2 linked regions of the Macaca mulatta genome follow. The protein of the gene in region 1 interacts with the protein of each later gene in a biochemical or structural test. Links are inferred from orthologs where the notes say so. Each region holds a gene or a part of one and is shown in the gene's direction. Other genes may lie near its edges.

What was found.
Region 2: the proteins of TRIM7 (region 1) and RNF187 interact in a test that uses a peptide from one of them, tested with the Homo sapiens proteins (2 studies listed by BioGRID, with this or other methods). The link is inferred for Macaca mulatta from reciprocal best matches to the Homo sapiens genes TRIM7 and RNF187.

The regions. Positions count from the first base shown.
Region 1 is NC_133411.1:190,242,464-190,257,564, reverse strand, and holds the start of TRIM7 (E3 ubiquitin-protein ligase TRIM7), read left to right. Parts: upstream 1-7,814; 5' UTR 7,815-9,515; coding exon 9,516-10,037; intron 10,038-10,983; coding exon 10,984-11,079; intron 11,080-11,501; exon of another isoform or gene 11,502-14,262; coding exon 14,263-14,493; exon of another isoform or gene 14,494-14,967; intron 14,968-15,101. UniProt on the Homo sapiens protein: E3 ubiquitin-protein ligase that have both tumor-promoting and tumor-suppressing activities and functions in several biological processes including innate immunity, regulation of ferroptosis as well as cell proliferation and migration.
Region 2 is NC_133406.1:86,246,612-86,261,575, forward strand, and holds the start of RNF187 (E3 ubiquitin-protein ligase RNF187), read left to right. Parts: upstream 1-7,615; 5' UTR 7,616-7,722; coding exon 7,723-8,112; intron 8,113-9,175; coding exon 9,176-9,268; intron 9,269-12,067; coding exon 12,068-12,289; intron 12,290-12,900; coding exon 12,901-12,903; 3' UTR 12,904-14,964.

The DNA.
Region 1 (15,101 bases):
AAATAATAAGTATATTATATATTTATATTATATATGCTGTATCTATTTTAGAAAGGTGGAGTGGATGGTGGCCTCAAAAGATCCTGCCAGAGACTTCCCAAAGTTCATTGGGCTACAGGTCTCAGCCACTGTGGCTGGCTTTAGGTTACACAATGCCACCTTGTCGTTATGGCTTTACAGCTTTCCTGAATTCATCTTGTTTCAATTAACTGGAACTCAGTGCTATTACTCCCTTTTTGATGCTTGAATTGCAGCTGCATGTTGGCGGGCGCCCCTTTGCCATGGCTGTTTGTTCTTTCAGTATTGTCCTGACAATTTGAAAGCACCCGTTTCCAAATTCTGCTTTGGCCTGTCTATGCTTCCTCTACCCTATGATGCAGGAAAATATTCAGGAAGTTTGAGGGGTTTTTTTCAGTGAAGAATAAAAGAGCCCACTCCGGGTACCAGGACAGTGCGTGGAGTCAGAACTCCTGGCTCCTTCACTCGCAGGTACCCTAGAGAAATAGTTTGAAGGAGGCGAATTCACATCGAAGGTTCTATTTAGTTGCAGCTTTGCTAGATATTTGCTTTTTGTTTTGTTTTGTCTGAGACAGGGTTTTGCTCTGTCGCCCAGCCTGGAGTGCAGTGGCACAATCTCGGCTCACTGCAAGCTCCCCCTCCTGCGTTCAAGCGATTCTCTCGCCTCAGCCTCCCGCGCATCTGGGACTATAGGCGCCGCCACCACGCCCGGCTAATTTTTGTATTTTTAGTGGAGACGGAGCTTCACCGTATTTGCCAGGCTGGTCTCCAACTCCTGACCTCGTGATCCACCAGCCTGGCCGCCCAAAGTGCTGGGATTACAGGCGTGAGCCACCGCACCAGGCCTTTTTTTTTCTTTCTTTTTTTTTTTTTTTCAAATAAACAACATCATTTCCTTACCAGATTATCTATTTAGATTGTTTTTTGGGGTTTTGTTTGTTTGTTTGTTTGTTTTTTGTTTTTTTTTTTTTTTTTTTTTGAGAGGAGTCTTGCTCTGTCGCCCAGGCTGGAGTGCAGTGGCGCGATCTCGGCTCACTGCAACCTCCGCCTCCCGGGTTCACTCCATTCTCCTGCCTCAGCCTCCTGAGTAGTTGGGATTACAGGTGCGTGCCACCACGCCCGGCTAATTTTTGTATTTTTAGTAGAGACGGGGCTTCACCATGTTGGTCAGGCTGGTCTCGAACTCCTGACCTCGCGATCCGCCTCCGTCGGCCCCCCAAAGTGCTGGGATTACAGGCATGAGCAACCGCGCCTGGCCTCTACTTAGATATTTAACCTCTCACTCAAAAGCCAATTGTAGGCTAGTCGTGGTGGCTCTCACCTATAATCCCAGCATTTTGGGAGGCCAAGGTGAGTGGATTGCTTGAGCCCAGGAGTTTGAGACCAGCCTGGGCAACATGACAAAACAAAAAACACAAAATTATTTTCTCTCTTTTTTTCTATTTTAAAGTAGAAAATACAGAATATTTTCTACAAAAAAAAAAAAAAAAATACAAAAATTAGCCAGGCATGTGCCACACCAGCTATTCAGGAGGCTGAGGTGGGAGGATGACTTGAGCTCAGAAGGTAGAGGCTGCAGTGAGCCAAGATAGCACCACTGCACCCCGGCCTGGGTAGCAGAGCGTGATCTTGTCTCAACATTTAGAGAGAAAGGTGTGATTAAACTCTTACTAGGGACTAGGTACTGTCCTTTTATTTATTTATCTTTTATTTTCTTTTATGAGTCTAGAGTCTCCCTGTGTTGCTAGGGCTGACCTTGAATTCTTGGGCTTAAGCAATCCAATCCTCCTGCCTCAGCCCTCCTGAGGTTAAAGGCACACACCACCATTCTAGGCTTTGTCCTATGTGCTAGATTTGCATTGATTCCTTGCATCCTCGAAACCAACCTGTGGTGTGCACTGTTAAAATGACACCTCATTTATTCAGTCATTTATATTGCAGTAAAAAGGGATAGATCAGGTCCCTGCCCTACTGGAGTTCACTTTCTGACAGGTGATTTAAATAACAAACAACAGGCAGATACAGAAACCACCTCAGAGAGTGATAAGGGCTGCCACAATATTAAAGAGGGCAATGTGGTAGAGTGGCAGGTCAACAGAAGATGGCATTATAGAGAGGGGACCAGGAAAGAGGCAGCAGAACAGGTGACACTGAGCTGAGCCAGGAAGAGAGAGAGGCAGCCTTCCAAAGATCTTGGAGAAGAGGCTTTTGGGAGAGAGGAAGCGGAGGAAGGTCAAAGACTCTGAAGTAGGAGTGAGACTGGTGAGATCAAGAGGGAAGACCTTGGGTGTGGGAAGGTAAGGAGCCACAGCTCTACTTCCTTGAATATGCATTCTCATGACCACCCACACCAGTTGCTGTTTTTTTGTTTTATTTTTTTTTTGCAAACAGATTGAAAAATGAGTGGAGGACATTGGATCTGCGATCTTACAGGACCCCGAGGCTAATGAGGCACACAGTAAGGCCTCAGTGCAGGACTGTGAAAGATAGATAAATGAGTACATAGCTTTATTCAGAAGATTTCAAATAATACTCCCAGGATTTCTGAAGGTGCTATGGGTTACTGGTTAAAGCAGGGAGTCTGTAAGAGCAAATGAAGTTCGGATACCAGCTCTCCACTGCCAGCTATGACCTAATCCCTCAGTCTCCTGCCTCCTTGCCCAGCCAATGAGGGTTCATAAATATAAAATCAATAATTGTGATTTGAAATGTATAAGTGACATTTACCAATTGCTTAGCCGTTCAGAATGCCTCCGTTTGACAGCCTTAGTTAATGAAAGTTAGTTAATGAGGGAACTGATGAAAGGGATTGTTCTTGTTGTTTCAAAAATTGATCACTTTATTAAAAAAAAAATCTGTAAGCTGAATTTAAAGTCTTCAGAAAAACTAGACCTTAACATTTACAACTCCAATAAATTGAATATTAATCACAAAGCAAGCATGTATTCTTTTCTATATTCAGAAGTGCCCCCATCACCCCTAGATACTAAACATCTCAAATGACAGTGATAAGCAGGGACGTTTCCCAGAATATCCTGTGGCTCTACTCCAGTTGGTCCCAACACAGAATGGAAGAACGGGCCATTCTGGGTCATCTTTTTGGCCACTCTTCCTTTTTCAGGCAGTCCTCCAGAGTTAGGTTGCTCCAGTTGACACTTCAGCTTCCTTCTTGCCTGAAACTCACATTCCCCAGAACACTAGCATGTGACTGAGGCCTGCCTTCTACCTGAGGGACTTGCACCTTTAATCCAATGTGATATGATATAAACAGCAATGAAACAGTGAGGTGAGCATTTGATGGCAGCTGAGCCATCTCCCCTGATGCTACCACAGAGATCCTAAAAGAATGACTTCCTCAAGTTCAGTAAAGAGAAATCAGTGATTGCTAGAGAAAGAGATACCGGGGCCGGGCGCGGTGGCTCACGCCTGTAATCCCGACACTGTGGGAGGCCGAGACGGGCGGATCACGAGGTCAGGGAATCGAGACCATCCTGGCTAACACGGTGAAACCCCGTCTCTACCAAAAGTACAAAAAATTACCCGGGCGAGGTGGCGGGCGCCTGTAGTCACAGCTACTGGGGAGGCTGAGGCAGGAGAATGGTGTGAACCTGGGAGACAGAGCCGAGATCCCGCCACTGCACTCCAGCCTGGGCAACAGAGCGAGACTCCGTCTCAAAAAATAAAAAAAATAATAATAAAAAAAGAAAGATATTGGAATATGTTTAGACTAGTTAGATTAGGTAATAGCCATGAATATATTAAACCTGAAGATAATTTTCTGTTTCAAATGAGGTTTTTAAATGAAAACATTCGGAAAAGTTTGATTAATAATTTACATATAAATTATATGTAATGATTCTTGTAGACACTTCAGCAAACACATCTGTGCTCTAATAATTTATACATGCCCCACAGGACACCAAGACCAAATGGAAAATGACATATACATTTTATTTCTTATGTCTGGTTGGATTCGTTCTTCCTGTCCAAGGAAGAAGATGTGCAGAGTAAGAAATAACTGAGCAGGCCTTTCTAATGGTGTCCTGGCTTTGCAAGTGAAGAGAACACGGTAGCCTCTTCAGAAACAGGCCTGAAAAGAGAAAACACAACGCTGTCACACAGAATTGGGTTAAGAACCATAAATGAAAGTGACACTGTACTCTTCAAAATCTTTTATCTGAGTACGTTCTTGTGTGATGTAAAGGGGCGGGGGAAGGTCCTTCTTCATGCCAGGTGGTGCCCTGTAGGCTCTTCAATGGGTGTTATCCTGTAGGCAGGCAGTGAAAGACTCCAGCAATTTTAAGTGGGGGAGTCACACGTTTAAATTTGTTGTCCAGGCAGCCCATTTCCCCCAAGACCGTGGAGAAACAGGCAATCTCATTCATGGCTAGTGGGAGGTCATATCAGACTAGGTTCTGTAGCAGGGTGATTTATCTATTTTTACAAAATTACTTGCACATAAACCTGGATGCCACAAATCTCACTTCTGGCAATTACCTCCACAGATAAAAGTGCAAAAGTGCAAAATGACAGTTGCTACATGCTTAACTGTAGCATTGATCATAAGAACAAAAAAATTGGAAACAATGTAAATGCCCATCCATAAGTCATCTGTTAAATAAAAGATGATTCATCTACAGGGGAATATTGTGCAGCTGTAAAAAAAGATTGAGGATATTTTCTATGTTTTGAAATAGAAAGATCTTTGAAATAGACCGGGCGCGGTGACTCATGCCTGTAATCCCAGCACTTTGGAAGGCCAAGGCGGGCAGATCACCTGAGGTCGGGAGTTGGAGACCAGCCTGACCAACATGGAGAAACCCCGTCTCTGCTAAAAATACATAATTAGCCAGGCATGGTGGCACATGCCTGTAATTCCAGCTACTAGGGAGGCTGAAGCAGGAGAGTTGCTTGAACCTGGGAGGCGGAGGTTGCAGTGAGTCAAGATCTCCCACTATGCTCCAGTCTGGGTGGCAGATTAAGAGACTCTGTCCCCCGCCTTCCCCCCATCCCCCAAAAAACTATACTTGCATCAAAATTTCTGGAAGAATATGTACAAAAATATAAAATTGAAATTGTCACCTAAGGGGGAGTTAAACACTTTTCACTGAATTCTGCTTTATTATTTAATGTTCTTTAATTTTTATTTTAAAGATGAGGGTCTGGCTAGGTAGTTGGCCAGGTTGGTCCTGAACTCTTGGCCTCAAGCAACCTTCCCACCTCGGCCTCCTAAAAGTGCAGGGATTACAGGTATGAGCCACCACGCTCAGCCGAAATTATTTTTATTTTATTTTTTTTTAATGAAATACCGCCCTGTCCGCCAGGCTGGAGTGCAGTGGCGCTATCTCGGCTCACTGCAACCTCTGCCTCCTGGGTTTAAGTTATTCTCCTGCCTCAGAATCCCGAGTAGCTGAGATTACAGGCGTCCACCAAAACGCCTGTTTGTATTTATTATTATTATTATTATTATTATTATTATTATTATTTTTGGGGACAGAGTCTTGCTCTGTCGCCCAGGCTGGAGTGCAGTGACGCGATCTCGTCTCACTGCAACCTCCCCCTCCCGAGTAGCTGGGATTACAGGTGCGCGCCACCACGCCCAGCTAATTTTTGTATTTTTAGTAGAGACGGGATTTCACCATGTTGGCCAGGCTAGTCTCCAACTCCTGACTTCAGGTGATCCGCCCGCCTCGGCCTCCCAGAGTGCTGAGATTACAGCCGTGACCGGTCGAAAGATTTTTTTTTGTTGTGTTGTGTTGTATTTTGTTTTGTTTTGTTTTGTTTGTTTGTTTGTTTGTTTGAGACGGAGTCTCGCTCTGTGGCCCAGGCTGGAGTGCAGTGGCCGGATCTCAGCTCACTGCAAGCTCCGCCTCCCGGGTTCCCGCCATTCTCCTGCCTCAGCCTCCCGAGTAGCTGGGACCACAGGCGCCGCCACCTCGCCCGGCTAGTTTTTTTGTATTTTTGGTAGAGACGAGGTTTCACCGTGTTAGCCAGGATGGTCTCGATCTGCTGACCTCGTGATCCGTCACTCCTCTGCCTCCCAAAGTGCTGGGATTACAGGCCTGAGCCACCGCGCCCGGCCGAAAGATGTTTTTTAAAGCTCATTTTGTGGTGCATGTAGCCTCTGTGGAAAATGGTATACCACTTCCTTAAAAACATAGAGATGCCATATGACCCAGTAATTTCACTTTGTGACGTGTACTCTAAAAAAATAGAAAACCTGAACTCAAACAGATATTCGTACACCCATGTTCATAGCTGCATTATCCACAGTAGCCAAAAGGAGGAAGGAAGCAAGTGTACATTGGCAGATGAATGGATCATGTGGTATATACGTGCAGGGGAATGCTAATCAGCTTTGAAAGGAAGGAAATTTTGACACATGCTACATAAGGATCAATCTTGAAGACATTAAATGAAATAAGACAATTAAAAAAAGAAATATTGTACGATTCATCTTACATGACGTATCTAGAGGAGTCAAATTCATAGACACAAAGTAGAATGGTGGTTGTCAGCGGTTGTGGGCAGAGGGGAATGGAGAGTTAGTGTTGGATGGGTTCAGAGTTTCATCTGGGAAACATGAAAAAGGAGATTGATGCACAACGATTTAAACGTATTTAATGCTACAGAACTGTACAGTTAAAAAGTGGTAAATTTTGTTGGGCATATTTTACCACAGTTTGAAACCCTAATTGTACTGCTAGATAATGGGTAATGAACATGCAGCGCCTACAAGAGTATTTCACACACAGAAGTGAAAGGCTTCAGAGCAGATTATTTTCCTAAGGGTTGGTCGGCTTATAATGTTTTACAGGTATGGCCAGTAATCGTAGATTTAGGAGTAAAACGACCAACTACGCCCAACGTGGGGCTCGAACCCACGACCCTGAGATTAAGAGTCTCATGCTCTACCGACTGAGCTAGCCGGGCGTCCGGTAACTCCGCCTAAAGAATTTTTCATTCTAGATTACATTGGGACCATATTCAACTGTGGGTTTGAACTTGGATTTGTTTGGAGTGTGATAAAACTACTGAAGAGCCTCGGCTCCCGGGAAATTCAAACTCTGCCGTTCCTGCCTGACTGTCCCTCCCACTTACGTCCGTTTTCTGCCCCTTCTACCCTACCAGCGATCAAGCCATTTTCTACCCGCGATGAAGCTCACGGCAAGGAGATGGAAAAACGTGCATCCTGACGCCACTGGAGCTCTCACCGTGTGGATTTTTTTTTTTTTTTTCCCTTTTTTTACAGAGTCCTGCTCTGTCGCCCAGGTTGCAGTGCCGTATCGGAATCTCGGCTCACTGCAACCTCCGCCTCCTGGATTCAAGCAATTCTCCTGCCAAAGGCTCCTGAGTAGCTGGGATTACAGGCGCCTGCCACCACGCCCGGCTACGTAGAGACCGGGTTTCGCCTTGTTGGTCAGGCTGATCTCAAACTGCTGACCTAGTGATTCACCCGCCTCGGCCTCCTAAAGTGCCGGGATTACAGGAATGAGCCACCGCACCCGGTAAAGTACCGTGTGGATTTTTAAAGACAATTAATGGGGCCCAGAGGAGGGCAGGGGCCGCCGCGGTCTTTCTCCACCCCGCAGACTCTACCTTCTGGGTTTTTCCTGGCGCTCTGCGAACACGCTGGATTTCAAAATTTGAAAGGAAAATCGAGAATAAAAATTGGATGTGCAAAAGAACACTGGAGATGCCGGGGATCGAACCCGGGGCCTCATACATGCAAAGCAAGCGCTCTACCACTGAGCTACATCCCCGTCCACGTTTTGAGGCTCTCCCAGATTGCCCCTAGTCGTCGCTTAGCTCAGGGCATCGGGAGCGGATGACAACTGGTGTGCGCTGGGTCTCAGCTGCTGCAAAAACCCGGGATCGCAGGGCCGAGAGTTGTTCCAGGGTCCTCCGCTGACTCCAGACCAGCGGGTCTTGACCAAGAGATTCCAAGAGAGAGGATTAGGCCCGGCTAAGCACCTGGGAGCAGCGGTGGAAAAAGGAGAGAAAATCATCAGGCACGATGCCAAAACTGAACTGTGACCTGAAAAAGAAAAGAAGGGAAAATTGTGCAGGATGCTACGTTTTGTTTTTTAAAACAGGGGGTCGAGGCGATAAAATACGGAATATTTGATTAATGTAATCCAGAATTGTAAAGTTGATTGCTCGGGATGAAGAAAGAACTGGGACACAGGTGAAGGGCCTACTTTTCACCGTGAACTGCGGCTCATCTTTCGAATTCTGAACCACGTTTAATCCGAGAAAACTTTACTGAGCTTGCCAAGAACTGCTCTAAAAACAGGATTCAGCCGTGAACAAACCGGGTACAGTCCGTCTTAAAGCTGACATTCCAGAGGAGATGGAGAGCGGGCACAGAGCCAGCCCGGAGAGGGGAGCGCGCTGAGAGACCACTTTACACAGCGTGCGCGTTCGGGGCGGGCTTCGTGGGCAGAGACGTTTGAAGCAAGACCTGAATGAGGTGGGAAGGAGCATGCAGGTGGTCGGAGAAAAGAGGTCCACGCAAGGGGAACAGCCAGCGCAGAGGCCACGCAGTTCAGGAACAGCAGGAAGGGTCGGGGACACAGCCCTGAGAAGGGAAGTCGGGAAGGGGGGAGGTGAGGCGAGGTCTTCGCCTTTGGGTGAGAATTGCTGGAGTTCCCGGTAACACTGGCAAGCCAGTTTCTGAGGAGGGTGCGGGCGAAAGCCTGATCCAAGCGACCTCCAGAGTGAACAAGGAGAGAGGGTGTGGAAGCGGGTAACACAGGCAGTTCTGCAGAGGGGCTGTGGAGACAGCTGGGGGACAAGAGAGCGCTGAGGTTTGTATGTGGGGGGGTGAAATAATACTGAATAAAATGGGAAAGTATATATGTATTATCTGTTCAAATATTAAGTAAAGAGTAAAGAAGGGAGAGGACGGTCGCAGAAAAGGTAATGGAGTGGATACAAGGCCATGCTTGAGGGTGAGGGGACAGGGCCAGGTTCCAGTCTCTAAATTTAGCTCAGTTCAGGGCCGGGGCGAACCTGCGCTAGGGGAACCTGACACCGTGGCCCGAGCGCCAGGCCCTTGCTCCGAGATGCTGGGTCGGCCTCGGTCGGAAACCGGGAGTGGCTCCCGGCAGGGTTTGTGCGCCCACCTGTCGCGGCCCGTTTCCCGCGGCTGACTGGGTCAGGCTGGGGCGGCCTGGAGAGGCTGAGCGACTGGGGCGACGGGGAGAGGCCGCTGGCCAAGGCGGGGGCTGGTGGAGCGCAGGTCCGGGGCGCGGGGCGCTGTCCCGCGCTTGAATGGCCCAGTGTCTTCGGGCCTGTAGTCAACGTGCGCCTCCCCTCCCGGCTCCCAGCCGGGCGCGCCCTGGGCTCAAGTCTCTGCCTGCCCAGTGGCAGCCCCGCCCTTCCTCTCCCAGTGGGCACTCGGCGGCCAGCTCGGACGTCGGGCTCCGACCCGCGTCCTGTGAGGTCCAGCGGCCGCCCAGGCGCTACCAGATCTGAGAGCGCGGAGAGCGCGCATGGCGGCTGTGGGGCCGCGGACCGGCTCCGGCACCGGGGCCGAGGCTCTAGCGCTGGCGGCAGAGCTGCAGGGCGAGGCGACGTGCTCCATCTGCCTAGAGCTTTTTCGTGAGCCGGTGTCCGTCGAGTGCGGCCACAGCTTCTGCCGCGCCTGCATAGGGCGCTGCTGGGAGCGCCCGGGCGCGGGGATTGTTGGGGCGGTGACCCGCGCGCCGCCCTTCCCACTGCCCTGCCCGCAGTGCCGCGAGCCCGCGCGCCCCAGTCAGCTGCGGCCCAACCGGCAGCTGGCCGCCGTGGCCACGCTCCTTCGGCGCTTCAGCCTGCCCGCGGCCGCCCCGGGAGAGCACGGGTCCCAGGCGCCCTCGGCCGGGGCAGCGGCTGCCCGGTGCGGTCAGCATGGCGAACCATTCAAGCTCTACTGCCAGGACGACGGACGCGCCATCTGCGTGGTGTGCGACCGCGCCCGCGAGCACCGCGAGCACGCCGTGCTGCCGCTGGACGAGGCGGTGCAGGACGCCAAGGTGAGCGCAGCCCGCACCCACCCCTGTGGGTCCCCGGGACCCCCTGCCCTGGTCCCGCGCTCCCGCGCACGCGGTGCAGAGAACAGACTGTCGATCAGGAGGCCCGGGTGAGCCCTCCCTTCTTTCTCCTATTCCAGGAAGCCCAGCACGGGTCCCCCGGCTGAGCGCGGTTCTCTGTCACCCCGAACATCACCAATACCCCCACCCCACCCCCACTGCGTTTCCCTCTGGGCCAGACACTGGGCTGCCTGCGCGACGTCCCCCGCGGACTTGGCGATGTTTTTCCTGTCTGTTCAGAGCCTCTAGCCTGGTCTGCGTCTCCGCAGCTCTGCGCCCGCGGGACGTCTCCGGCACAGCCAGGCAGCCGCTGCCCCCACTCTTATCTCTTTCCCTGAAGCGGGCTCTGCTCAAAGTCCCCACCTCGTGGAACTGAGTGGGAGGACCTCGCCAAGAGGTCCAGGGAGGGGGCTCCTGGGTCAAGCAGCACCGAGAGCCGTCTGACTGTGCCAAGGCTGTCGATTCTGAGCGCCCTTTCTTTGCTATTTTCTCGCTGAGCCTCAGCGAGGGTGTGTGCAGGGGTGAGGGCGGGGCGGGGAGGCTCGGGCGGCAGTCACCAGTTTCTCCTTGCTCACCTATCCTGCTCCAACTCTCCCACCCACAGGGCTTCCTGATGGTGGGGCGGAGAGCAGAGGAGACGACTAGGGGTAGGGCTGCTGGAGGCTTGTGTTTCAGTCTGGCTGGTCCAGCAGATGCTTTTGGGGACGCAAGATCCCGAGACCTTCAGAGTCCCCTCGCAGTGTAACCTGCAACCTGTAGACAGACTTCTACCCGGCCTCCCCCTCAGTGAGCAGGGCCTTCCCTTTCTCCTGGCTGGCTCCAGGAGGCAGAGGTGGGGGTTTCCAGAATCCCCTCCCCCCCACCTCACATTGTTTCCCTTCACCTACAGGAGCTCTTGGAGTCCAGGCTGAGGGTCTTGAAGAAGGAACTGGAGGACTATGAGGTGTCCCGGTCCACGGAAGAGAAGGAGAGCAAGGAGCTCCTGGTGAGCCAGGCACCCCCTGGCACCCCGTGGGAGATTATAGAGGCCTACGCAGCACCAGGGCTCAGTGTGTGTGGTGTTGGAGTGTGTGCTATGGAACCGCAGAATAGATTTCAGAAAAATAAAAGAGTGCATGTTACATAGGGTGACCATATAATTACTGTAAAAGCAGAGCTTTTTAAAGTGAAAAGGTGTGCTAAAAATAATTATTGCAAAACAACTGGCTTAAACTGGAACTGTCCCAGCGAATCAGGACATACAGTCACTCTGATATTACATAACATACCAGTTAGGGCCTGTGGAAGCATCTTGTAATTGAACACATTAATATTTCTGCAGAGAAACATGAATATTCCATAAATGGGACTCTTAATACGATAAAGAACCTCATGGGATGTTTTATCAACAAAAGAGGAGTGAAAAAATTTTCATTTTCTGAGTTTTTTTATTTGAAATTGAGGCTAAGGGAGAAGGGGCTGGAGGGTGTCAGCCGCTTCATGGCTCCGGCACAGTGAGGCAGTTTGGGGTCTTGAGTTGACAGTAGCCCCTGCTGCACAGCCCAGGGTCTTGCATACTGGCATCTGCCTCTACCCCAAGTTGGAATGATATTTTATCTTCCTTAGAGTAGAACAGGAAAGTGAAATGGGGACTAATTTTGGTTAAGATAAGCAAACATGAATCACCATCGGTCATTTTCTACCTTGCAAATTCAGTTCCTAGCTCAGTAAATAAGTGTTGAAAGAAGGAAAGGATTGGCTGAGTGCCACGGCTCACCGCCTGTAATCCCAGCACTTTGGGAGGCCCAGGCGGACGGATCACCTGAGGTTGGGAGTTCCAGACCAGCCTGACCAACATGGAGAAACCCCCATCGCCACTAAAAATACAAAATTAGCCGGGTGTGGTGGCGCATTGCCTGTAATCCCAGCTACTCGGGAGGGTGAGGCAGAAGAATAGCTTGAACCTGGGAGGTAGAGGTTGCAGTGAGCCAAGATCACGCCACTGTACTCCAGCCTGGGCAACAAGAGTGAAAATCCATCAAAAAAAAAAAAAAAAAAAAGAATGAAATAGGGCCTGTCAAAGCAGGGAATTGGAGGAAGGTGAACTAGAGGACCCTCCCATCCTCAATGTCAGGAGGGGTGGAGGAGGAGCCTGGAGTTCAGACACCCTAGGGTCCTTTCCAGACCCTCAACTATATCTGTGGTGCCTGCATCCAGCGTGCATCCCAGACCTTCCCACCCAATCACTCACTTCCCTCCATGATGAAGAGCTCACCCTCCAGACCTTCATCCCTCCTCCGCTGGAGAAACAACTTCCAGCGCAGCTCTTCCGCCACTGGCTGACATCCAGGAACCAGAGGGCCTTCCCAGGCACCGGTGGCAGCTTCATGGTCTCTGACCGGAGTCCCCAGGCCTTGCTTAACACCTTCCACCTCTGTCCGCTCCCAACATCCATCCATCACCCCCACATTCATTTTTGTTGTTGTTTTGTTTTGCTTTTACACAGAGTCTCGCTTTGTCACTAAGGCTGGAGTAGTTCAAGCGACCCCCCCACTTCAGCCTCCTGAGTAGCTGGGACTACAGGTGTGCACCACTCCACCTGGCTAATTTTTAATTTATTTTTTGTAGAGCTGGGGTTGGGGGTAGTCTCCTATGTTGCCCAGGCTGGTCTGGAACTCGTGGGCTCAAGCAACCTCCTCCCCTAACTTCGCCCCCCTCAGCCTCCCAAAGTGCTGAGATTACAGGTGCGAGCTCCACCTCTTCTTTACAGTGAGAAAATACTTCTGTGATTTACGATGCTCGTATCATTTAAATACCCTGCTTAATGAAACATCAGAGGTAGAGTCCAACTATTGCTGCAACATAAAAGGGAGAAGGAATACTCTTATTTGAAAATACTCCTACCCCAGGGGACATCTGGCAAAGTCTGGAGATACTATATTTCTGGTTGTCAACAATGGGATACGGATGCTATTGGCATTTAGTGGTAGAGGCCAGAGGGGCTGCTAAACATCCTACCAGGCACAGGACAGCCCCCCCACAACCAAGGAGTATCTGGCCCAGAATGTCACCTGCGTTAAGGTTGGGAAACCCTGGTGTAGAGTGTTTTGGCAAATACTGTTTCACTTATGTTATTTCCTTGTGAGGCAATATGATGTAGCTGCCAGAAGCTCAGACTCTGCGTTCTGGCTCCCTGGCCTAGAAGCCTGGCTTACCACTTCCCGGTGATGTGTCTGCCTTTGTCTCCTCACCTGAAAGACTTGGGGGGAAGTGCACCCACCTCACTGGGCTGCCGTCAGGGTTGAGGGAGTTAATACCTATAAGGCTCTCCGGGCTACTGCAGCCTGCCTGGAAGCTGAAGGAAAGGTGGGGGCATTGTGCGACACCTGAACCCAGGTCTCCCAGCTTCCCGGGACTTCCTTCCTCCGCCCAGGAGTTTTAAGGAAGAGAAACTTCCTGGTGGGACACACTGAGTACCACACGTGTGTTCCCACAAAAAATCAAGAGATCAGGGCATGAGTCTGCATCTGAAAACTCGAGTAAAAAATCTTGTGTATGCTGTTAACGGAAAGAATAGAATATCAAGCTTGCACACAGCATATTCTCACTTAGTTCCTTGGGGGTGAGCTGCTACCTCTGGTCACTGGCATCGGACTTTTCTTCCTTCTTTCTACTTTCCTACATCTCCCAAGTTTTGTATTTTGAGCATGTGTTACCATTATAACTGCTAAACAGGGAAGATGGCCTTTAAAAACAAAGTGAAGAGTAAAAGTTTGAGGGTGATGAAATTAACGTGCTTAAGGAGGAAAAGGCAATCTCAGTTTAATCCTATGGTTGCCCCAGGAGGCACTAATTTATCCCTTCTACTTTTCAAGTGAGGAAACTGCCACTTGGTGTAGTTCTGGGGGGAGTATGATGCTGCCTTGGTTTAGGTGGTGGAGCACAGGTCCACAGACACGCGTGGGCACATCTGTGGCAAGGGAGAAAAGAGCACGTGTTGAGACTACAGCTTGTTCGGAGCTGGGACATTGAAAATAGAGCATGCACTGCCTGCATAGGTGGGTGTGTCTCTGATCCCCCAGCAGTGACAGGGATGAAGCCTTGCCCTATGGGATGACTCAGGCCACTGGCCAAATGTTATGTCTCCATGCTCAAGTCCCCTACCTCTCCAATTCTCCTCCTGGGACAGAAGCAGATGGCAGCGGAGCAGGAGAAGGTGGGGGCAGAGTTCCAGGCGCTGAGGGCCTTCCTAGTGGAGCAGGAGGGCCGGCTGCTAAGCCGCCTGGAGGAACTGTCCCGGGAGGTGGCACAGAAGCAGAATGAGAACCTGGCCCAGCTCGGTGCTGAGATCACCCAGCTGTCCAAGCTCAGCAGCCAGATCCAGGAGACAGCTCAAAAGCCTGACCTTGACTTTCTCCAGGTAAGTCTGGCTTAGCCAGAGGCTCAAGTCATTTGTCCGAAAGCATCAGGACCGGCAGCTAGAGGACAGTATCAGTCCTGGGGGTTCAGGAGAATCACACGATCTGGAGCTGAAGGGGACTGGAGGGAAGTGCCCTGATTTTCCTGGGGTTGGAGGTCTAGAGGGATGTGATTAACACTTTCTTGACTATGAGCCACAATAATATATATCGTATTTCAGAATCGCATGCTTGAGACAAAAGTCTCAGAAGATAATACTCACCTTTGCTACACGTATGCACTTTGATGTTTTCTATTCTATTTCACTAAAAAAAAAAGTTATAAACCACTAGATAAACTTCACAATCCACAGACGGGTTAATAACAGTCACTACTGGGCTGAGTGAGCAGGAGGTGCATAAGGGCTGTGACCTCCTCAGGTGGTTTCCAGGACACAGGCAGCACTGGGTCCCATGGGATAGCTCCAGTGATGATTCTGTAATAAAGAAAGCAGCAAAGATAGAAAGAAAGCATTTGAAGAGCTGTGGCAAAGTGTGAGAGGTCCACCACGTGGATGAGACACCCTGCAGCCAGCAGCCACTGCAAGTTGCTGTCACCTAAGTCCATGCA
Region 2 (14,964 bases), on another chromosome or scaffold:
TCAACTAGAAGGAAAAAAATAATAAGACATCATAAAGCGAGAGAAGCCCCCTATGGGTCTTTCGACTCTCATGCCTATTTAGACGCAATTGGATTCCCACGAGGAATAGCAGATCAATTTAAAGCTTGAAATAAAATAGCTGCAGGATTTGAGTCAATATTTTAGTAGGTGACAGTTAATAAAAATGTAGATTAGATAAACTATATTTATTACAACCAATAGCAATGAGCTTTTCATGAATTAAAAGAAAAACTCATGTCAGCCCCAGCCCTGAGGCTACCTGACCTGACAAAACTCTTTACACTCTATGTGTCAGAAAGAGAAAAAAAAGGCAGTTAGAGTTTTCACACAGACTGTGGGGCCTGGCCAAGGCCAGTGGCCTATCTCTCAAAACAACTAGACAGAGATTCCAAATGCTGGTCCCCAGGTCTAAGGGCCTTGGCAGCAAAGGCCCTGTTAGCACAAGAAGCAGATAAACTAACCCTTAGGCAAAACCTGAATACAAAGCCCACCCCCCATGCTGTGGTAACTTTAATAAATACCAAAGGTTATTGGTTAACAATGCTAGATTAACCAAGTACCAAAGCTTGCTATGTGAAAATCCCCACATAACCATTGAAGTTTGCAACACCCTAAACCCCACCACCTTGTTCCCGGTATCAGAGAGCACAGTTGTACATAACTGTGTAGAGGTGTTGGACTCAATTTATTCTAGCAGGTCCAACCTCCAAGACCATCCTTAAACATCAGTAGACTGGGAGCTGTACACGGATGGGAGCAGCTTCGCCAACCCTGCAAAGTGACTCTGAAGAAGACGACAAGCCCTGCTCCAGTCACACCCAGAACCTGACTGGTCCACGCACGGCCGAAGCATGAGGAAACTCATTGCGGGACTCATTTCCCTTAAAATTTGGACTTGTACAGTAAGGACTTCAACTGACCTTCCTCAGACTGAGGGCTGTTCCCAGTGTATATATCAAGTCACTGAGGTAGGACAAAAGGTTGTTATGGTCCTATTATTTTATGGTTATTGTAAGTGTACTGGAACTCTAAAAATAAGTTGTTTGTATAATATTATTCTATACAAGGTATGTAGCCCAGGAAATGACCAACCGAATGTGTGTTATGACCCATCTGAGCCTCCCATGACCACAGTTCTTAAAATAAGATTAAGGACTAAGGACTGGTGGGAGCTCATAAATGATATGAGTAAAGTGTTAGCCAAAACAAACAAACAAACAAAAGGTTGCCCAAACAAGTCACCTTCAAATTTGATGCCTGTGCTGTCATTAACAGTAATAAGGAATAAGGTGTGGTTCTTAGTTAGAAAAGAGGCTACATTGCAGAAAATAAGTACATCTGTCATAAATTAGGACTGTGTGAAAATAAATGTAAATACTGGTTTTGTGTCATTTAGGCCACTTGGATAAAATAAAATAAAAAAATGATGAAAAGGATCCAGTCCACCTTCAGAAAGGAAAAAATGGCCCTTCCTGTACTAAGGGACAATGTAACCCCTTAGAGCTAGTAATAACCAATCCCCTTGATCCTCGCTGGAAAAAAGGGGAGCGTGTGACATTAGGAATCGATGGGGCCGGAGTGGATCCTTGAGTAAATATCTTGGTTCGAGGAGAAGTGTACAAACGCTCTCCTGAACCAGTGTTTCAAACTTTCTATGATGAACTAAATGTACCAGTACCAGAAATTCCAGGAAAAACAAGAAATTTGTTTTTTCAATTAGCTGAGTATATAGCCCAGTCTCTCAATGTCACTTCATGTTATGTATGTGGAGGAACTATAATGGGAGATCAATGGCCATGGGAAGCCTGAGAATTAGGGTCTACAGACCCAGTTCCTGATGAATTCCCGGTTCAAAAGAATCACCGTGATAATTTCTGGGTCCTAAAACCTCAATTATTGGATAATATTGCATAGCTAGAAAAGGAAAAGAATTCACTCAGCCCGTAGGATGACTTAGTTGTGTAAGACAGAAACTGTATAATGGTACCACAGAAACAGTCACTTGGTGGAGTTCAAATCACACAGAGAGAAATCCATTTAGCAAATTCCCAAAGTTGCAAACTGTGTGAACCCACCCAGAGTCCCACGGGGACTGGACAGTCCCCACTGGATTATACTGGTTATGTGGGCATAGAGCTTATGCCAAATTACCTGACCAGTGGGCAGGTAGTTGTGTTATTGGCACTATTAAACCACCTTTCTTCCTACTGCCCATAAAAACAGGCGAACTCCTGGGCTTCCCTATCTATGCTTCCCTTGAAAAGAGAAGCATAGCTATAAGAAATTGAAAAAAAATGATAAATGGCCCCCTGAGAGAATCATACAATATTATAGGCCTGCTACTTGGGCACAAGATGGTTCATGGGGATACCGGACCCCCATTTACATGATCAACCGAACCATATGGTTACAAGCTGTCTTAGAAGTAATCACTAATAAAACCGGCAGAGCCTTGACTATTCTGGCTCAGCAAGAAATTCAGATGAGAAATGCTATCTATCAAAATAGATTAGCTCTCAACTACCTGCTAGCAGCTGAAGGAGAGATCTGTAGGAAATTTAACCTTACTAATTGCTGCCTACACATAGATAATTAAGGGCAAGTAGTTGAAAACATGGTTAGAGATATGACAAAACTGGCACATGTGCCCGTGCAAGTATGGCATAGATATGATCCTGGGGCCATGTTTACAAAATGACTCTCAGCGCTAGGAGGATTTAAAACCCTTATAATAAGAGTTATAATAGTAATAGGAACCTACTTACCGCTCCCTTGTTTGATACCTTTACTTCTTCGAATGATAAAAAGCTTCATCGCTACCTTAGTTCACCAAAATGCCTCAGCACAAATGTACTATATAAATCATTATCGATCTGTCTTGCAAGAAGACATGGGTAGTGAAAATGAAAGTAAGAACTCCCACTAATAAAATGAGTGAGAGTCTCAAAGGAGGGGAATAAGGGAGGAGACCACCCTTCATATTGTCTTTTGCCCAATTTCGGCCTCCAAAGAAAGAAGAAGTCAAAACTGAAAGGCAGAAATGAAATCCACAGCAGACAGCCTGGCGCCGCACCCTGGGCCTGGTAGTTAAAGATCGACCCCTGACCTAACTGGTTCTGTTATCTATAGATTACAGACATTGTATAGGAATACACTGTGAAAATTCCTATCTTGTTTTGTTCCGATCCAATTACTGGTGCATGCATCCCCCAGTAACATAGCCCCTGCTTGCTCAATCAATCTCGACCCTCTCACATGCACCCCCTTAGAGTTGTGAGCCCTTAAAAGGGACAGGAATTGCTCGCTCAGGGAGCTCGGCTCTTGAGACTGAAGTCTTGCCAATGCCCCCGGCCAAATAAACCCCTTCCTTCTTTAACTCGGTGTCTGAGGAGTTTTGTCTGCCGCTTGTCCTGCTACATTTCCTTTCTCTCTCTCCTTGACGCCCTCTTAGTCTGTCTCTTCCTCTCTCTCTCTCTGCCTCTTTTCCTCTCTGTCTCTTTCCTTTCTCTCTCTCTGCTGGTCTTTCCTTGCCTCTGCCAGCCGCTTATGCTTCTGTTCTCTCAACCACCGTGTGTTGGGGGCGGGGGATCTGAAACAAGCTGGTCTGCGTTCCCTGGCTTACAGGTTACCTTGTGCCGTACCTATAAAACAAGGGACCTGTCCATGATTCCTTCTAATGGCCAACCTACCTCTAACGCTGGCCAGTCTACCTTACACAAAGTTTTAAGTTTTCCTGGTGTCATAGTACTCCGTAGTCTCCCTTAAATCCTTTTCTTGAAAAATTTCAACATAGTTCCTTAATGGGGTGGGCTTACTTTGTGCCTCACCCATGTTTCCTCTAGACAAAACACCACGCTCACACCACACGCACACCACAAAACAAAGGTGCTCCTCCCTTAGCACCACACAATGTGGATTCTGCTAGTGGTAAGGAAGAGAGGCTTTCAGGCAACAATCTTTGCCAATGTCTACTTTCAAAAGTCTCTAATGCACATGTGTGCAAGTTCATGGCTGCTACCATTTACTAAGCCATGCCCCCAGTATTGGACCTTCAAGGTTTTGTTTTTCCCTCCAAAATGAATAGTGATATGATATACATATCCTCATTTCTTCTCTCTTCCTCTCCCTTCCTCTCTCCCTCCCTTCCGTTCTCTTTCTTTTTTTTCTCCTTCCTTCCTTCCCTTCCTTTCTTCTTTCTCTCTTTTCCCATTCTTCCTTCCTTCCTCCTTCTCTCCCTTCATCACCATTGTCTTAATCTCAACTACCCAGTGACACTGCCAAAGGTCGCAGGGACCTCTGCCTATGAAAGCTAGGTATTGTCCAAAGTTTCTCCCCATGTGATAGTCTGAAATACGACCTTGTGGGAAGGGAAAGACCTGATCGTCCCCTGGCGTGACACCCATGAAGGGTCTGTGCTGAAGATGACTAGTATAAGAGGAAAGAAGGCCTCTTGGCAGTTGAGCTAGAGAAAAGCATCTGTCTCCTGCCTGTCCCTGGGCAATGGAACATCTCGGTGTAAAACCCGATTGTGTGTTCTGTTTACTGAGAAAGGAGAAAACCGCCTTAGGGCTGAAGGAGGGACTTGCTAGCGCAATGCTGCTCTTTATGCACTAAAAAGGTTTATGGAGATGTTTGTATATGCATAACAAGGCACAGCACTTTTCCTTAAACTTATGTCACAGAGATCTTTATTCATATATCTTACTGCTGACCTTCTCCCTAGGATGATCCTATTATCCTGCCACTTCTCTTTTTCTAAGATGGTAAAGATAATTATCAATAAATACCAAGGGAACTCAGAGACAGGTGTCAGCGTGGGTCCTCTGTATGCTGAGCGCCAGTCCCCTGGGCCCACTTTTTCTTTCTCTATACTTTGTCTCTGTGTCTCATTTCTTTTCTCAAGTCTCTCGTTCCACCTAACGAGAAACGCCCACAGGTGTGGAGGGGCAGGCCACCCCTTCACTCAAGTAGCTGGTACTACAGGCATGCACCACCACGCCTGACTAATTTTTGTATTTTTAGTAGAGATGGGGTTTCACCATGTTGGCCAGGATGGTCTTGATCTCTTGACCTTGTGATCCGCCTGCCTCAGCTTCCCAAAGTTCTGGGATTACAGGCGTGCGCCACCACACCCAGCTTCAGATGATCCATCCTCCTCCCAAAGTGCTGTGGTTACAGGCCTGAGCCACGGCTCCTGGCCAAGTTGCTTTTTTTTTGTCTGCTTACTTAATAGTGGAAAGAGTCTCGTTTTATTTTCCTCTTTCTTAACTGGGCAGAGTGTACATTTTTTTCTCATGTGTGTTCAATCATTTGTGCGTTTTTTTTCTGCGATTTGAAAAATCCCACGACAAGGTGCATTTTCCATTGTGCTTTTCCTTACCAAATTTTAAACTCTTTGTATATTTGTGGCTAAAATGTTCCTAATTTGGCAATTTGCCTCTAATTATCGTTTTTGATATTTTCTCATTCGCAAGATTAGTTCATTATGAAGTTTGCTCATTTTTTATATTTTTTTACTTTTCTCTCCAGCAAGTTTCTAGTTGACTCCACAAATCAGCAAGGCTCTGCTGGAAGCCTTCTAATCTTTACTACACAGAAATAACCTCGGCTTACTATTCATATTTCCCACGGGCATTTAGTGCATTTCCAAGTCGATTAAAAAAATCTTAACAAAGACAAAAATACCTCATTAGATCCTGCGCTTGTTTGGAATACAGATTAAAAAAAAATTTTTTTTTAAGACAGAGTCTCGCTCTGTTGCCAGGCTAGAGTGCGGTGGCACTATCTTGGCTCATCGTAACCTCCGACTCCCTGGTTCAAGCGATTCTCCTGCCTCAGCCTCCAGAGTAACTGGGATTACAGGAACGCGCCACCACGCCTGGCTAATTTGTGTATTTTTAGTAGAGAGGGGGTTTCACCATGAGCCAGGAAGGTCTTGATCTCTTGACCTTGTGATCCGCTTGCCTCGGTCTCCCAAAGTGCTGGGATTAGTGGCGTGAGCCATGGCGCCCGGTCCAGATTTTTTAAAATGCAAAACTTGCAGTTTTTTTTTTTTTTTTGATGCTTGCTTGTTTTCAAAATAATTAAAAAACAAAAACACAAAATTGCTCTTCCCAAAGGCTTCTTTCTTTCCTTTAAATTTATTTTTTAAAGAAAAGCTAGCCGGGCACGGTGTCTCAAGCCTGTAATCCCAGCACTTTGGGAGGCCGAGATGGGCGGATCACAAGGTCAGGAGATCGAGACCATCCTGGCTAACACGGTGAAACCCCATCTCTACTAAAAAATACAAAAAACTAGCCGGGCGAGGTGGCGGGCGCCTGTGGTCCCAGCTACTCCGGAGGCTGAGGCAGGAGAATGGCGTAAACCCGGGAGGCGGAGCTTGCAGTGAGCTGAGATCCGGCCACTGCACTCCAGCCTGGGCGACAGAGCCAGACTCAGTCTCAAAAAAAAAAAAGAAAAGCTAACGGCTGGGCGCAGTGGCTCACGCCTGTAATCCCAGCACTTTGGGAGGCCAAGGTGGGCAGATTATGAGGTCAGGAGTTCGAGACCAGCCTGGCCAATATGGTGAAACCCTCCTCTTTACTAAAAATACAACAATTAGCCGGGCGTGGTGGCGGGCGCCTGTAATCCCGGCTACTTGGGAGGCTGAGGCAGGAGAATCGCTTGAACCCGGGAGGCGGCGGTTGCAGTGAGCCGAGAACGCGCCACTAGCGAGGCTCTGTCTCAAAAAAAAAAAAAAAAAAAAAAAAAAAAAAGAAAGAAAAGCTAACAAATGCTGTTTTGTCATGCATCATCACGGAATGAATGAGAGCTCCTGCCAGCCAGGAGACAGCGGACTACCAGGGTTGCTTCCCAGAGGTCAAGAAGGGAGGTCGCGCGAGAAGAGGCTCCGTGGGATGGGTCCACGCAGCGAAATCCCACGCAGGGTGGGCGTATACGAGTGTCCACGTCCGAAGGGCCCGTTCAAGGGCAGATCCCTGAAGGTTGGGTGAACGCAGGGCACGTCCACGCGGGCAGGCCCTTGCACGCAGGGAGTGCCCACGCAGGGCGGGTCCGTGTAGCATGAGAGCAGCGAAGGAGGCCCACGCAGGCCATTTCGCGCCCCGTCCTCAGCCCACGCTGGCGAGCTACCGCGGGGAAACGCGCAGCTCAGATCTTAGCAGCTTACAAGAACAACCTTTTAAAAATGGAACCTTCAAGTAAAAATAAAACTTTTGTTGCCTTCTTCTACAGGAGTTATTGATGTAGGAAGGGACAGTCCCAGTAACATTTCAGGATACGACTTGGGCCGGTCCGCAGGCAGGAGAGTGAAGCGCGCAGCTGCCAGGGCTTACGGGGTGACGTGCAACGCTGCTAGGACCTTGCAGGTGGAGAGCATAGTTGCCAAAACCAAGGCGAAAGAGTGCACCGCCGCTAGGATCCGGGCGGAGGAGCCCACCACGGCCCGGACTTATTACGGATGCAGTACACTGCTGCCAGGATCTTGTCTGTGGAGGGCAGCGGGGCCGGGACCTCAGTTTGCAGCACACCGCTGCCAGGATCTCGTCGGCTGAGCGTTCCGCGGTCCGATCCCCGCCCCGTGCGCGTCGCCGGCGTTGGCGTCGTCTTCCTGGTGCTGGTCTCCGTCCGGTCGCCGGTCGCCTTGGTCTCCGGCCCTCCCCAGACGCTCCCGCACCCTTGCCGACCGCGCCGTCCGCAGCCCTGGCGCTCCCTGCGGGCCCCGCCGAGGCCGCCTGCGCCCTGTGCCAGCGCGCGCCCCGGGAGCCGGTGCGCGCCGACTGCGGCCACCGCTTCTGTCGGGCGTGCGTGGTGCGCTTCTGGGCCGAGGAGGACGGGCCCTTCCCGTGCCCCGAGTGCGCCGACGACTGCTGGCAGCGCGCAGTGGAGCCCGGCCGGCCCCCGCTCAGCCGCCGCCTTCTGGCGCTCGAGGAGGCGGCCGCGGCGCCCGCGCGCGACGGCCCGGCCAGCGAGGCCGCGCTGCAGCTGCTGTGCCGCGCTGACGCCGGCCCGCTCTGCGCCGCCTGCCGCATGGCTGCAGGCCCCGAGCCGCCCGAGTGGGAGCCGCGCTGGAGGAAGGCGCTGCGCGGCAAGGTGCGCGCGGCGGGGTCCCGTGCCCCGCCCCGGGCGGTGCCCTGCGCCTCTCCGCCCCTGCCCCGGTCCCCCTGAGCCCTGGGCCCTTCCCATTTCCACTGTCCCTGTCCCCGGATTGTCCCCCTCCCTTTACCGCCACGGGTCCCCGCTCCAGCGTGTGCTGGGCCCCTCCTTCTTGCAGCTTGCCTCCCCACGTTTTCTGCGTCTCTTCCGAGTCTGGTCCGCGTCCCCATCTTGGTGTCCCCTGCTGGGCGGTGCTTTATCTCCCCACCCCCTACCTTCTACGAAGTCCTTCCCCCACCAGCGTCCATCTTTGTGGTCCCCACCACTAGCTGTGCCCTGCCTCACACTCATAGACCCCCCTCTAGTTCCCACAGATTGACTCCCCCACTCACTGTTCCCTTGGGGAAGACATCACACCTCTCGACCCTCTGTATTCCACTATGTCCACAGGCCTGGCCCGCCTTCTTGTCTGCTCTCCGGGCCACCCAGCCCTCACTTGCACCGCCTGTCCCCTCTCCCGTCTTTCAGAGACCCGCTCTGGGAGTCTGGCAGCGACGGGTCTGGGAGTCTGGAGCCTTTCCCATGGCGGGTTGTTTGGGGGATACAGAGTAGGAGAGAACAGCCAGCCTGGGGTCCCGCTCTTGAATACAGGGGAGGGGAAGCCAGCCAGACTGTGCCTCTGGGCGCTCCTCCTGCATTGAGGGCTCTTGCCACCAGGCAGAGTGACCCCCATCGGGCTCAGGCAGGGCAGGGTGTAGGGCAGGCTGTGCAGACCTGTGGTACAGACCGAACTCACACTGAACAGGGCCACTTACAGACACACAACTCCTAAACCCACCTAGACAGTCCCCTTAGCCCCAGCACCCAGATCCTTCTGAATAGGTGTGAAGCCCAAGAAACCTTTTGGCTGCCTGTGTGTTCCTGTCCTAGACAACAGGGCTTCGAGATTATCTCTGGAATGGTCAGACTGTGTGCATTCAGCTGGGGTGATGTCCCTCAGAACTGGGCTAGGTTGGGGGAGACCTTCTGCCCACCCCTGGTGACCTTCCTCTCTTTCCAGGAGAACAAGGGGTCTGTGGAAATCATGAGAAAGGACTTGAATGACGCCCGGGACCTGCATGGCCAGGCGGAGTCAGCAGCTGCAGTGTGGAAGGCAAGTGGGGGGCCTGGAGGCAGCCTGGAATGAGGGGACCGGGGACTCAGGGCTCTAGACAAAGGGACCACCAGGCCAAGCAGGCCAGGCCTCTGAACTGCTCAGCTGGTTGGTTGGAGGAGGGGCCTCTGGACTTTAGTGAGTTTCAGGGTATTTTTCTAGGATGTGTTTGTATTTTTCAAATAGAATCTAACCAAAGTCAGTGGAAGCCTCTTTTTCGCCTCACATTTCACCTGTAGGTGATGGCAGCATCAGACTTACTCTTTTTTTTTTTTTTTTTTTTTCCAAGAGACAGTCTCATTTGGCTGAAGTGCAGTGGTCTGCTTGTAGCTCACTGCAGCTCGAACTGGCCTCAGGCGATCCTCCCACCTCAGCCTCTGGGACTATAGGCATGTGCTACCACACCTGGCTAATTTTAGAATGCTTTTGTAGAGATGGGGGTCTTGCTGTGTTGCCCAGGCTGGTCTTGAACTCCTGGCCTCAAGCGATTCTCCTGCCTTGGCCTCCCAAAGTGCTAATTTTTTTTTTCTTTTAAAACACATCTGTAACTTTCTGTGGTCCTCTTGTTCTGATCTGAGAGTTGCTCATTTTTTTTTTAAAGGCTAGAAATCCAGGATCAAGGAACTGGCACATTCTGTGTCTGTTGAGAACGCTTCCTGGTTCATAGATGGTGCCTTCTCACTGTGTCCTCACATGGAAGAAGTAAGGGTGTCTCTGGGGTCCTTTAAGGACACTGATTCCATTCTTGAGAGTTCCACCCTTACAACCTCATTACCTCCCAAAGGTCCTGCCTCCTAACACCATCACCTTAGGGATGAGGATTTCAGCATGGGGATTTGGGGAGGCCACAGACATTCAGACCACAGCAGTGTTACTTTCCTTGGGTGCCTTCCACAGCATTACATCCCAAAGGGCAAAGGGACATCCCACTAGATTCTTTGAGGTTACTCACAAGTAAAGCTCTTCAGTCGTTTAAACTCTCTTTGGTGACTTTTTCCTCATGTGTAGTAAAAAATCTGTGTGCCATTTTCTCTGGGTTTCATAAATTCCTACTTCCTCCTTTTAACCTGAAAGACAGAGTGATTTTCAAAGGTGCAGCAGCTCTTGGGTAACTGGCTGCACCTCGAGGCTGAGGCCCGCATTTTTACCCCAGCTTGAGGCTGAGGTAGACTCTCTGTGTTCCCGGTGGTGCTGAGCCCTTGCCTACTCTCCACAGGCCTGAGGTGCAGGCCTCACTCAGTGACAGGTGACACACAGAGTCCCTGATGCCAGTCGGACCCCTGGCACTCCACACTGCCCTTGGGGGCTGCTCTGAACTTCTCCTTGCCTTGTGAGTGGTCAACACTGCCCAGTGCAAGTGAGGCTGGAAGGCTTTGGGGACCTCCAAGTTTTCAATAACTTGTGTTACCCCCAAGGGACTTGTTTTGCCCACAGGTTTTAGGTTGGAGTTTTCAATCTGTCCTGTTTTGGGGGTTGGTGGCTTAGATGCTGGGATGAGAGAAGCCACCTAAATTCAAAGGAAGGAGTTTGCAGTGTGCCGCATCAGCCAACCAGCAGACACCCAGCTGTCATTTGCATTCTCTCTCAGCAACAAAAGCCTTGGCTTCTCATGACTATGGCTGTCACCTGCCCTGTGTGGCCCAGGGCCAGGTGGAAGCCATCCATGACTCTGAGTAAAATCACAGTAGCATCCTCCTCTGCTCTCCTGTTTCCAAGGTTAGGGGTTGGCTGGAAACCAGCTGAAGAGTGGCAAGTGTGAACGCTGTTTGTTGAAGGCTGATGGGATGGTTTTCAGCTGTTGGAGTTCTGGTGTGGGCACAGCAGGGACAGTTTCTGGCAAGATGGGTGTGTGTCCTGCCTTGACAGTAACGTGCCTGACAGGCTCTAGACCTAGCAGGGCCACTCAAGGATTTACTGTCCCCTTGGCCATGGGAGACGGGAGAGGAACTGTCTTCATGTGCAGCTGACCACTGCAGTGTCAGGGAGAAAGAACTCTACTTCTCCCCTTTTAGGGTCCCAGGCTGGGCCGGAGAATTAAACTGACATAAGCTAAACTAACAGGGCCAGGTGCAGTGGTTCATGCCTGTAATCCCAGCAACTTGGGAGGCTGAGGTAGGAGGATTGCTTGAGGGTAGGAGTTCGAGACCAGCCTGGGTAACATAGTGAGACCCCCATCTGTACAAAAATTAAGAAATTAGCCAGGTGTGGTGGTGCATCTGTGGTCCCAGCTACTTGGGAGGCTGAGGTGGGAGGATACTTAAGCCCAAGAGGTTGAGGCTGCAGTAAGCTATGATGGCACCACTGCACTCCAGCCTGGGTGACAGAGTGAGACCCTATCTCAAAAAAAAGGAAGATAGATTAGTGGGAGAAAAAACATAAGTTTTTTTTTTTTTTTTTTTTGAGATGGAGTCTTGCTCTTGTTGCCCAGGCTGGAGTGCTGTGGTGCCATCTTGCCTCACTGCATCCTCTGCCTCCTTGGTTCAAGTGGTTCTCCTGCCTCAGCCTTCTGAGTAACTGCGACTACAGGCATGTGCCACCACGCCTGGCTAATCTTGTATTTTTAGTGGAGATGGGGTTTCACCATGTTGGCCAGGCTGGTCTTGAACTCCTGACCTCAAGTGATCCACCCACCTCGGCCTCCCAAAGTGCTGGGATTACAAGCGTGAACCACACCACACTCGTGCCTGAGCAGCATGTTTTAGAGTGGCATGTTCTTAACTCCTTCAAGAGGGAACAGGTTCCCCTTCGCCTGGGGAGAGTGGGCGAGGACACAGGTCTTTTCCTGCCACCTGTCTGCAGGGACACGTGATGGACCGTAGGAAGAAGGCACTGACTGACTACAAGAAGCTGCGGGCCTTCTTTGTGGAGGAGGAGGAGCACTTCCTGCAGGAGGCTGAGAAGGAGGAGGGGCTACCTGAGGACGAGCTGGCTGACCCCACTGAGCGGTTCAGGTCACTGCTGCAGGCGGTGTCGGAGCTGGAGAAGAAGCACCGGAACCTGGGCCTCAGCATGCTGCTGCAGGTGTGGGATCCCCACTGGGTCTGTCCACCATCAGGCCAGGGTGGACGTAGGCAGCAGCGAGCCACTGGGGGGCCATTGCCCGAGGTCAAGGCTTAAAAGCCCAGCCTGACTCCCACTGCCGTGGCCTTGCAGGGCTGATTTTGGGAATGGGTGGGTGGTCAAGGAAGGTGATAGGAAGGGGTTTTAAGTTGAGAAGGGTCTGAGGTGTCCCTGACCTTCACAAGGGAGGACACTTGGTATCCCAAGTGCCTGAGGCTTCTGCCCCGCCCTAGGGTTCTGAAGGCAGAAGCAGGCAAGAAACTCAGCCTCAGGGCTTTTCTTCTGCCTCTGCCCAGGGCCTGGCCTGAACCCCAGAGCCCGCAGCAACCCAGATGGCCTTGAATGGTTCAATTGCCTGTGCCAGCCATAGGTGACAAGGCTTTGGCCTTGGGGAGACAGAAGTCTGGGCTAGGCCCTGGGTTGGTTGTGCTCAGGACAGTACCTCATGCACTGTCTCATGTGCACTCTCTCTTGCTCTCTCTCACTCTCTCCTTTTGTCTTTGTCTCTGCCTCTGTGTGTCTCTTTCTCTGTTGTTTTGTGTCTCTGTCTTTCCCTCTACCTTCCCATGCAGTGATGGCGCCAACCGGCGGCAGTCCCAGAGTTGGAGGCAGGAGGGGATGGATCCTCATCTCCTTGGGAAGTGTCAGCGTGTGGCTGTCAGGGAAGCGTGGAAGGCGCCCGGCCTTGGGTCCGTCTATATAGTTGTGTGTTTCAAGAATGTCCCTTTATCCTTCACCCTGAGGCGTGAGTGTTTTGGGGGCTACAAACACCTCCCGGTAGAGGCTGGACCTGAGGACCCTTCCGACCTGTGCCCGACCCTTCCTGAAGTCCTGGCCACAGCCCATCTTCCATAAGTCCCAGCAGCTCTGGGCCATGCCCTTCCTCTGTCACCTATCTGCCCCTCACCTTGTCATCCACGGACCCAGACCCTGCACCTTCCATGCGGGCCCACAGATCCTTGGCAGGTACCTGAGGTGCACCATTGAGTGTCGAATTTGGGGTTAACATCTAGAAAGAAGAACGCACATGAGGCTCTGTGAAGGCTGGAACTCAGGTCTTCAGGGAAGAGAAAGGAAGACTGGATTGCACCTTGATGCCTCCTGAGGAGGCAGCCCTCCTCTTGAGGTGGGCTTGGGCCCCGCCCAGCCTTATCCGCGTCGCTCTGTCCACCTCCCCCTTCCTGGCCCCCACCCTGCCTCTGTGTCTCCCAGAAGCCCTCCCTGTGCTCCACCTGCCTCCGTAGAAGGAACTCTCTTTCTCCTTTTTCCTGGGCGAGGGGGCTGGCAGGTGGCTAACCCCATTTAGCATCTCCAGGCCCTGCCATGGTGTCTCATCTTGCTGTTCTCTCTGGCTCTTTCTCTCTTCCCATTTCCTTTAGTAGTTGAATTTTGCAAAGCTCGTAGCAGTAGCTCAGTTGCCTGCAGCATCCTTGTGTGTAGATAAATTCGTCTAGTCGACAGAAACTCAGCACTGGGGACAGGATTGCAAAGTCTGGGACATAGATGCAGGCAGATGTTGAGATTTGGGTATAGCTGGGCTTGTGAGCAGTGCCTATTTCCAGATGAAGCCTTTCAGCCTTTCCGAGTCCCCGGCCTTTGGTGCGATGTCTGTGAGTTTGACCTACCCAGCGTGTGGGCTGGTTCAATGTTGAATAAAGTGAGTTTGTGTCAGCTTGTTTGCTTCGTCTCCGTATGTCCACCTCTTCCCCCTGCTCTGGCCACCCTCCAGTGTGAAAGGAAAATTCCTCGTGACACTTGCTAAAGCATGGTGAGGAGATCTTTCATTGGGACCATGGAGATGGGTGTGGAGCCCTTTCCTTGGGGCCTCAGGGGAGATGGGGCTCCACCCCGACACAGTAGGGCAGGGGTTGGAGAAGCCGAGGAGCAGTGTGGGGTCCATTGGTGGGAATGACTGTGAGGAGACATCAGGGCTGAGGGGGGTCTGGCTAAACCCACCTCACAGAGTCCTTGCTGCAGGCAGGCAGGGTGATCAGACATTGGTTGCAAACGGTCTGATAGGAACCCAGTCAGGTACCATTGAGGGTGGTCAGATATTATGGTTAAACCAAATTAGGGTTCTTGCTAAAACTGGATTTCATAAGAAAGGGCACAGAGGACCCTAGGAGAAGATTCCAGAGCCTGGCCAAGTAGATAATCTTTGTCAGCACGCCAACAACATCCCGATCCTGAGACCTCCAGTTTGTCTTTCTCACTGTCTCTACCTGCTGCAGTCTGCTGTCGTCCCCAAGTGTCCTTGCCCCTGCGCTGCACACCTGTGATGCATGGCTGGCCAGGTCCTGATGGGACAGAGTCTCCCGCAACATCAAAGTGTCTCCACATCACCAGGTCCAACAGTGGCTTCACCATCCTCACCTAATCTAGCTGACCAGCAACATCCCACCCTGTCAATCACAACCTGTTTCTATTTGAAAAAATTATATACTTATGGGGCACAGTGTGATGTTTTGATATCTGTACATTGTGGAGTGACAGAATCAAGCAGATTCATGTATCCATCTCATGTTTTTTTTTTGTGGTGAGAACATTTGAAATCTACACTCAGCAATTTCAAATACAGTCATAGTCATCCCTCTGTGTCCAAGGGGCATTGGTTCCAGGACCCCTTCCTGGATACC